Linked DNA regions of Arabidopsis thaliana. The protein of the gene in region 1 interacts with the protein of each later gene in a pairwise test. Each region holds a gene or a part of one and is shown on either strand. Other genes may lie near its edges.

Region 1 (5,787 bases):
GTAATAACAATAACAACAATCTTGAAGAACAAGTGAGGCAAGAAAGAATGATGAAACATCAGAAGCAGCAGCCATGGCTTCAAGCATTGACCTTGAATGTTATTTGATAATAAATAATTTTTAATTTTTAACTGTATTCTGAAATAGATTTGCATCTCTTTTTTTCAATTTAGTAGTTTAATTTTTATTTTCTGATGAGATTGTTTTATCATGCCTCATATCAGGTGATTTTTTTTCCTTTTTATTTAATGCTTATCAGTAATTTTCTTGTTTACTAGTTCTTTTTAGGGTTTTTGTAAATAAAATCAATATTAATGTTTTATTGTTTCTGAAGATAAATATTAATTAATTTCGAGCACAAAATTTATCAGGTGAAGTATCTATATAAGGTTCGATCTTTAGCTATAAAATACACATAAAAAGGAGAAGATAATGAAATTGAGTTTTGTTTTTTGGAGAGCAAAATTGAATTATTATGAATAAAAAATAATAATAGAGGAGAAGTTATAAAAGGGGCCAATGATGAATTAGTTATGGGACAAGAACATGCAATCTCTGCTGTCATGTTCCCTTCAGGCTTCATGAGAATCACCTACTTCCCCTGTTCTAGTTCTGATTTTTATATATATTTCTTTCCCTAATTTCCAAAGAACTAAAATTGAAAAGTTACTATTATTTTTTAATACATGACCCCACGATCTGGTTTGATCATCATCAGCTTTAGAATCCCAAATTCTCTGAATCTATGATCTATACTCATAAGTGATAAGTTCCACAGATAAAGTTTATACATCATAAACACACCAAAATATCAAATGTTGATAAGCAGGAAGAAAACCCCTTGAATCAGAACTTAAAAGTTCCAACAAAAATTCAACTTTATATATGTGTATATAGATATGGTATTCAAGAAATAGAGTGTCTCCGATCTTTTGGTGGTTTGGTTCTGCCTCTACCGTTGTATGGTGTGATGCTAAAAGGGTTTAGCTTACCGAGTTTCTTGGAAACAGAGTTTATGAATGACTTTCTTGGCAATGGAGGCTTACCCGTGGAAGCAGTTGAGATTGGTGAACTTGGATTCGTGCTGATGGTTGATGATGATGTTTTCTTCTCACTCTCTTTCTCAAACTCTTTTAGCTTCATTTTCATTTTGAGAAGTTCGAGCTTCAAGTCCTGATTTTCGCGTTTAAGCTTGGAGAGTTCGTCGGTGTAGGAGCTAAGTTTGGGAGGAAGAACAGCTGCTGGTTGTGGTGGTGGTGGGGCTGGAGAATCTGAATCGTTAGTGACTTCTCCTCGTAGACGTTGTTGCTCGTAGTAAAGGACTTGAACAATGGTCTGAACAGGAAGACGATCATTCTGAGCTGCATGAGCGCAGGCTTCTCGTGATAGTTTTTGGCAGTCCATTAAGCTGCACACTTTCTTCCTCTCTACATCACTCATATTGGGATGCGCCTGCAAGAAAAAACCATAGTTGTTCACTAGAGCTCTCTTAAAGTTTTTCAAAATCTCTAAGATAATGGGAACTTGATCATCTCCTTAACCACAAGATGTCAAATATTTACCAGTTTTTGTAGTCTCATCTAAACGGATTCGGTATAGAGCAAATGAATGTAAATGTTTACTAACTTAATATTACCTTAAGGTAGATGTCGACGGCTCGATACATACCATCTTCAGTAACCCTAGACTGTTCGGGGATAAGTTCAGCTAAACCGATGAATTTCTGCAAGCTCACATTTCTATCAGAAGCAATTTCAGCCATATAATTCTCCAAAAGTTTACCAACACGTTCCATATCACCAGCAAGATCAACACCATTATTGCTTAAGCGAACTCCTTCGACTTCAAACTCGAGATAATTCATGAGAATGCGTTGAACAGTGTCAGTATCAAACATGGAGTGATCTCCAGTGAATGAATAAGAAGGAATCAAGAGATCATCGAGCACGGCTTGTCCTAATTGTAATCCCATTCTGTTTTCCAAGTCAAGTCTACAAGCAACCGTTGTTTCGAGGAATATTGCTGCGCGTAGAAGCATAGAGAGAAAGCTAACCGACATTGCATTTTTCTCTCGAGGAAGAAGGCTTACGATTGTTTCAAGAATCACTCTTTTCTCGTGTTCTTGTTTTGGCTCAATCTTCTTCATTCCTTTCCCGAAAATTTCCTGCATTTGCAAAGAAACGAAACAAACTTTTAACGGATACCCATCATTCTTTGTCCCTAGTTTATGGAACTTCAACAAAAGAAGAGACTCAACCAAAATGGTAATGTGTGTTTGTAAGAAACTCACCAACCCTCGAAGAGATTTCTGAGCATAGAGCATAAGCACTGGACCAAGTCCATACTGCTTAAACCCTCTAGCCATCATCGCGATCAGGACACGTTGAAACGAATCAATCCTAAGAACCGTTAAGTCTTCAGCCCACCAATCAACAACAGGCTGCTTGCTCTGCTGCTGAACCACAACCTCATTGTTACCGCTATTACTTGAAGAAGGACTGCAAAAATGGCTCTCTTGACAAGTCATATAAGCAATTGCATCGATGCAACGGCTTACAAGTTTGACTCTTTCAGCAATGGGCAACAACTTCTCTGATTTGTGCAAGACTGTGATCGAACTCGATAAGCTCTTGAGAGCTACTTCATTCAAGTAAGCTTCGGCTCTTACAACGAGATTTTCCACAGAGTGTTCCTCTGTCATCTCTAGATACTCCGCTGCACATCGCAACATGGCAATGTTCTCTGTGCTCATATCAAAGTTAATGCCGTAGCAGAACTTAGCCGCTAGCTCAAATGCTTCAGAGCCTCCTGGAATATCTGGTATCTTGATAACAGTGGAATCTGAATCTTTGCTTGATTCCGACACAAGTTTCTTGATAAACCCACATTTTGACATGAGTGGAAACTGCAAGATTCAGAGAGAAAACAACCGAATCGGCACGAATGTGATCATGTCATTGGCTTTACATCAGAGAGATTGATCGCTAAATACAGATCTATAATCTACCTTGTGCAGTGAAAACGAAGCTTCTCCTACATGAACGGTGACATCACTAGATACTTCTTGAGAAGAAATCCTGAAACGATGTAATAAAGAGTATTATAAACGATTTCTACTTCAGGACTGGAAACAAAAAATGGATTGAGAAACAAAATAATCTTATGAAGAGAATAAAAAACCATTCACTGGTTCTTTTCATAGCTGAGGACAAAAGATCTTTCTTCTTTGCTGACATATTACGAACACTTAGCTCGCAGTTTCTTTTCACTCAAGAAATTCACCATGGAACACTATTTCAAGTCCTTCTCATGAAGAAGACGTGCCGTAATGTACTACTAAAAGAGAGAGAATAAGATCAAGAAAATGAGCTTCTTCCTCTCTTTTGATAATTGTGACCAAACAGAAAAAGAGAACTCAAATTCTCCAAACAAAGAAAACCATAAACTACCCTTACCACCAAAAGCAATGAACAAGACAGAACAGGGTAGTTATGTCATTCTAATGGAGAGTACAAGATAGGGAGTCAGTCTAAGGAGGGAGTGTGTGTGGTAATGGATTGGTTTAAAAATTGAGAAGAGTCCAAGTGGATCAGACACACATCTTTGTACCAAACTAATAATTCCAAATTATAAAAAAGAGAGTATTGATTCCTCTCCACAAATGTATATATCCCTTACAAATATTAGCTATAAATTGGTTTAGTGGTAAGAAGAAGAGAAGGAAGGAGTATATAAGTAAGCTGCAGAATCTTGGTTTTGTGACAGAACATGAATGATGGGATATTTGTCCCTACAGAGAGTCTTATCATCTTTTTTTCTGATAATTGAAGTCACTATATGCCTCAACATTTTGATTGAGACTCTACTCAATCTTGCAATAAATTGTGTCTCTTGAATAATATAAGACGTCCTCAACGAAAAATTCAAAATTTTCAAATAATTGCAAACAATAAAAACAGAGGATGATACATGAATCTGAGTTTTTACCTCTAGTTGTTTTTCATGGCTTGGTCAGCTAAATGAGTAAAGACGACAGAATCTTCCCTCGAGTTCTCAACATTGGAATCAAAAATCAGTATTGTTAACCAATTCAACCCCTTCAAGATCAATAGCTTTTTGCAGTCTTCCACACTATACATTGAGCCTCTTCATCCATCAAATGCCTCAACTCCTAAAACAACCATAGCGTAATCTTCGCGTGTATCAACCAATTAGCTGTTACATTTGTCGGAGAACCCATTGATAGTGATAGGAGTCTGAACAATCTTTAAATGGCTTTGTCGCAGCCTCCTTGATGAATCGTGGGGACACAGATAGAAAGTTTCCACCTTTTACTTGCCCATTATTGCAGACTTTCTCGAGACTTAGCTCCATTATCACTGATCGAATCCTCGCTTAATGCAAATCCGAAATTTCAAAAGCTTCCCAAAAATAAGAACCCTAACATGTATATAAGCGGGTGGACTATTTGGGTCCAAATATATTGGGCCATAAATAAAGCCCATTATACTATGTCAGGCCTTTATGGCAAATTTAGTTGGCGCAAAAATAACGCAAACGAAAAAAGGAAAACAAAAAGTTAATCTGGTGCGGAAGAGCGTAGTGAATGATAGATACGCTTTTCTTCTTGTTCTTCCTCTTCTTCGATTCTCCTCTTCGACGTCTCTTGTTACTGTGCGCCGTCTTAGCCTTACGTGCGCCAACGGCGCACTCTCCTATCCTACGCTCATCTATCGTCACTCCCACAGCGAGAGCTGTCTCGGAAGTTTCCGGTTGTACTACGATCGATCCAGATTTTCTCGTAGAGATCTCTGATTCTAACCAGACGCGGGCGATGTCGAAAGCTCGTGTGTACACCGAAGTCAATGTGATTCGACCCAAGGATTATTGGGATTACGAGTCACTCATTGTTCAATGGGGGTAAGATTGTTAAACCCTAGAATTAGCTGAATTGGTAGTTGCTAAAGTAATTTAATCGATTTTTGTAGTGTTTGTATTGAATTTGAATTCAGCTTGCTCTGGATTTGCTTCTTGATGAAGCTAATCTAATCAAATTGATGCTGCTAATGTAAAAAACTTTACTTTTATCTCTATTGATGAATTTGATTTTTTAGTTGTGCTTATTTTGCCTTTTAGTTCTTCTATTGTAAAGCAATGATTTTTTAGTTTAACATTTTGATCTTGTTATTTGCTCTCTCAGGGAGCAAGATGATTATGAGGTAGTAAGGAAGGTAGGGCGTGGAAAATATAGTGAAGTTTTCGAGGGTATAAATGTGAACAGCAAGGAGAAGTGCATTATCAAAATCCTCAAACCTGTTAAGAAAAAGAAGGTGAATTGTTTTACATTGTTTTGGATGATTGGGGTTGTTTCTTGAATCTCTCTATGATCTTTTTTTCGTAGATAAGAAGAGAGATTAAAATACTTCAGAACCTATGCGGTGGGCCAAATATTGTCAAGCTGCTTGATGTTGTTAGAGATCAACATTCGAAAACTCCAAGCTTGATATTTGAATATGTTAACAGCACAGACTTTAAAGTTTTGTATCCTACGTTGACTGATTACGACATTCGTTACTACATCTATGAGCTGTTGAAGGTATAAATTCTGGTATTGGTTGGATTATATAAGTATTCCATTTGACTTCATACTCACATTTGGTAAGACTACTTGTTGCAGGCACTAGACTTCTGCCATTCACAAGGAATAATGCACAGAGACGTCAAGCCTCATAATGTTATGATTGACCATGAGCTGCGTAAGCTTCGTCTTATAGATTGGGGTCTTGC
Region 2 (4,426 bases), about 27 Mb from region 1:
TACTTCAGAAGTTATTTATGGTCATATATATTATATCGTTAAATTTTGTCGTAAAAATGGGTTATATGGTCACATTAATCTTGCATGGGACCAAAAGTAACAAGCTAAATTAATAATGTATTCTTTTATTTTGTTTGTCAACAATTAATAATGTATTCAAAATCAGTAGATATTTTGATTGGAGCAACCTTTCGAACCAACGAAAGAAAAGGGGCAATTATATAACCATCCATTTTTATTGACAGAACCTTGATTTCGTAATTATTTAACGAGCTTCTTTCCTTCCTCCTTCTCTTTTTCCCCAACGAAAGAAGCTTCCATGAAACAGCATCAGAAAAAATCAAAATTAAAAACAAATGAAATCTTTCGTACATCACATTATTAACGCGGTAATTTATTTTTATTTTATTCCCGTACATGTCTTTTAATGGATTTATATATATTAAAAAAGATGTTGATTTGGTTTTATGTGAATACTGTAGTACTAATTTATGCCTACCAAAAAAAAATAGTACTAATTTATGTGTGGCTTGGATTTATATATATGTACAAATGGGCACAGCGTGACAGCGAAAATAGTAACGTACGATTTATCTAATCTTTAAAACGTTGTGTGTTTTGGATAAATTACAAAAATAATTAAAATTGATTTTATATTTTGTTGTACGCTGCGGTGGGTAGATCACGTCGTAGATTTACTATAAAAATTGACACTGCAAAATTTATCCTCTTTTTTTTGGTATTAAACTTTAACCAAAACTTCACAAGATTATAAAAGCCTTGCACTCTAACAATGCAATGCGATGATTTCTAAGTCGTCAAATGTTTAAGTCTGAGGAATTGGGACATAATTAGTGTGATTGTGGGTAGTGATCATACATGGAACTAATACATCTTTATAAAATTATACTGACTTTCCAACTTAGCTAAGTAAGAAAATAGTAACTATTAAAAAAAAACAATGAGATAATGTTAAATATTAATCAAATTTGTTTTTCTTTTTTATTTTGGGCAAAAGTTATTTTTTCAAGCGCACTGTTTGTACTTTATAATGTGAAACATATATTGAAAATAATCAATTGAAATCTTAAATGTAGTCATATTTCTTTTTTTCAAAAAGCATCAAATAGATCAATTTGCCCATAAGACTCGATTTATTTTTCCACGAATATGGGAAAAAACAACTGGAGATTTTTAAAAAGGAATGACATATGTTTTCCAAATGTATTAACTAATGATTCCAACATAAGCAAATATATTTTCTAAAAATAGTGAAATAAACAACTGTGAAATGTATACAAAAAGCATGAAATATATTTTCCCAAGTATTGTTTAAATTTGATAAATAATTCAAGTTATTTGGAACAGTGATGGAGTGGAAAAATAAACATAAGAATCATAATTAAAAATGAACGTAGAGTTTAGATAGTGATTTGAAAAGATTAAGGAAGATTAGGAAATGACACTAGTTATAGGACGATTCCAACCTTGAGCAGTGGGGCGGGAGTTGTAGTAACCTGTCAACCGCAATATATAGCCTGGTGCTCAAAATGAGACTTGAACTAATACTAATAAGGGGAATTTGGATGTTCAAAGGACTTAACCACGATTGATGACTAAACAAAGCAGTGGTTAGCTGAATTACTAACTAACTAGAGCTAGCTGCCTAGGCTAGTCGAAAGAACAATTCTCCGTTTTGAGTTGACCATAAAATAATAATATTCAACAATATTGGAGGAAACATGTTTATATGTTCTTGTAATAATAATATTATAGCAAATAGCCGAAGATACGACGAAGCGTATATGTGTGAAATGAGTATATTCTACAGCCTAAACCCTCGGAGATACCAAATCAACACGACAACAGCGACGGGACACCTGTATGGTTCTAATTCAACTTCTTGTCCACATCTTCATCTTCTTCTTCTTCTTTTTTTAATAGATATATTAAGAAAACAAAACAGAAAATCTCCCACGTCTTTACAAAGAAAATAAAGAAGAAGAAAATAAGGAAAAAGAATCTGATAGTAATTGACAAAAATACCCTCATCTCCTACCTCAAGACAGTAATATATATGTAACAACTCGATACAGAGCATGGCTTATCTCTTATCCGAATCCTCCCAATTTGTCTGTCTCTCTTTTGTTTTCTCTGCTAACAGATCTCTCTAAATATCTGTTACTTTTGTTCATATCTTTTTACTTTTCAAACTACTAATTTTCCTTTCGCTTCTTCTATTAATAACAACACTCTCTCTCTCAGACTTCTTTTCTTTTTTTTCTACGGCGTTGATTCATTCGCAATGACCTCAGTTTCTGTGTACCATAATTGACCTAGCAGATTCTGTTTTTAATGGTAGATTCTGACCCGGTGGAATTTCCGCCGGAGAACCGCCGTGGACAGCTCTTCGGCAAATACGAGGTCGGAAAATTGGTGGGATGCGGCGCCTTCGCGAAAGTGTACCACGGGAGGAGCACAGCGACGGGTCAGAGCGTTGCGATCAAAGTGGTGAGCAAGCAACGGCTGCAGAAAGGAGGACTCAATGGCAACATTCAGAGAGAGATCGCTATCATGCACCGTCTGCGCCACCCTTCTATCGTGCGCCTGTTCGAGGTCCTCGCCACCAAATCCAAGATCTTCTTCGTCATGGAATTCGCCAAGGGCGGTGAGCTATTCGCCAAAGTCTCCAAGGGCAGGTTCTGCGAGGATCTTAGCCGTCGTTATTTCCAGCAGCTCATCTCCGCCGTCGGATATTGCCACTCCCGCGGCATCTTTCACCGTGATCTCAAACCGGAGAATCTCCTCCTCGACGAGAAGCTCGATTTGAAGATCTCTGATTTCGGACTCAGCGCTCTTACCGATCAGATCCGACCCGACGGCCTCCTCCACACACTCTGTGGTACGCCGGCGTACGTGGCGCCTGAGGTTTTGGCGAAGAAAGGGTACGACGGTGCTAAAATCGACATATGGTCATGTGGAATCATACTGTTCGTCCTCAACGCCGGTTATCTCCCTTTCAACGACCATAATCTCATGGTTATGTACCGGAAAATCTACAAGGGAGAATTTCGCATTCCCAAGTGGACCTCACCGGATCTCCGGCGACTGCTGACTCGGCTTTTAGACACGAATCCGCAGACGAGGATCACTATCGAAGAGATCATCCACGATCCATGGTTCAAACAGGGCTACGACGATCGGATGTCTAAATTCCATCTAGAGGACTCCGATATGAAACTCCCGGCGGACGAGACCGACAGCGAGATGGGAGCAAGGAGGATGAACGCATTCGACATCATCTCAGGATCTCCAGGGTTCAATCTCTCCGGTCTTTTCGGAGACGCCAGAAAGTACGACCGAGTGGAACGGTTCGTGTCGGCGTGGACGGCGGAGAGGGTGGTGGAGAGGCTGGAGGAGATCGTGTCGGCGGAGAATCTGACGGTGGCGAAGAAGGAAACATGGGGGATGAAGATCGAGGGGCAAAAAGGTAACTTCGCAATGGTGGTTGAGATAAACCAGCTAACGGACGAGCTGGTTATGATAGAGGTGAGGAAGAGACAAAGAGCCGCTGCATCTGGACGAGATTTATGGACAGATACACTCAGGCCTTTCTTCGTCGAGCTTGTGCACGAATCAGACCAAACGGACCCAGAACCAACTCAAGTACATACGACGTCGTAGTTTAGGTATCTGTCAAATAAATTATCCAAATAATAATTAAAAAAAAATATCCCGGGTTATATGTAATTGCTTTTTTTTTTACCCGGAGAATATCTCTGACATAATTATTCAGGAAATTTCTCGACAAATCTTAATTTTTAGTTGGCAAGTATGTATCTTCTTGTTATGTAATCATAATTATATTTTATATAAATGAAAAATAAAATATAAAAAAATGTATTACTTGTTTTAAATGGCCACTATAATACATTAGTAACGTATCGTGGATGTGAAGTAATGCTATGTGTACAAGACACTCTAACTTAACCATTACTTAAGGATTAGTTAACTATTCAACATGATATTTAACATACATATAGATGTAATTTTTAACAACTCATAAAACACAGTCTTCTTCTGCTATTAATTTTGTCATTATGTAAAAAGAAGTGTCAAGATTTGAGCCATGAACTAACACAACTGATCTACTTTCACCTTTTTGATAAGTAAGAGGTTGTCCTTATCACATCATTGTAAAAATATACTATTAAAATAGATATATAGCTAGTGGACTTTATATAATCCTATCGCATGTGGCTGTGATATAAGATCATACACCAATAATTCTCATCAATCATTTTCTTTTCTTGGTATCCACATTGAATCCAATCATCCATAATCCATTAATTTCAGCTTCAGCAGTTATAATTACTGTAATCAACATATATATCACCTTTTCAATGCAATAATTGTAGGCTCCACG

What was found. Proteins that work in one complex are often made in the same cells at the same time.
Region 2: the proteins of AT5G67385 (region 1) and SR1 interact in a two-hybrid assay, tested with the Arabidopsis thaliana proteins (one study listed by BioGRID).

Annotation. Positions count from the first base shown.
Region 1 is NC_003076.8:26,882,203-26,887,989, reverse strand, and holds AT5G67385 (Phototropic-responsive NPH3 family protein), read right to left. Parts: upstream 3,788-5,787; 5' UTR 3,237-3,787; coding exon 3,181-3,236; exon of another isoform or gene 3,078-3,180; coding exon 3,008-3,077; exon of another isoform or gene 2,906-3,007; coding exon 2,291-2,905; intron 2,165-2,290; coding exon 1,637-2,164; intron 1,453-1,636; coding exon 907-1,452; 3' UTR 560-906; downstream 1-559. Other genes in the region: AT5G67390 (glycosyltransferase-like protein), read left to right, coding at 1-107; CKA1 (casein kinase alpha 1), read left to right, coding at 4,607-4,920, 5,201-5,330, 5,402-5,596, 5,678-5,787. UniProt on the Arabidopsis thaliana protein: Acts as a substrate-specific adapter of an E3 ubiquitin-protein ligase complex (CUL3-RBX1-BTB) which mediates the ubiquitination and subsequent proteasomal degradation of target proteins. Involved in disease resistance.
Region 2 is NC_003076.8:312,681-317,106, reverse strand, and holds SR1 (serine/threonine protein kinase 1), read left to right. Parts: upstream 1-1,701; 5' UTR 1,702-2,355; coding exon 2,356-3,684; 3' UTR 3,685-3,917; downstream 3,918-4,426. UniProt on the Arabidopsis thaliana protein: CIPK serine-threonine protein kinases interact with CBL proteins. Binding of a CBL protein to the regulatory NAF domain of CIPK protein lead to the activation of the kinase in a calcium-dependent manner.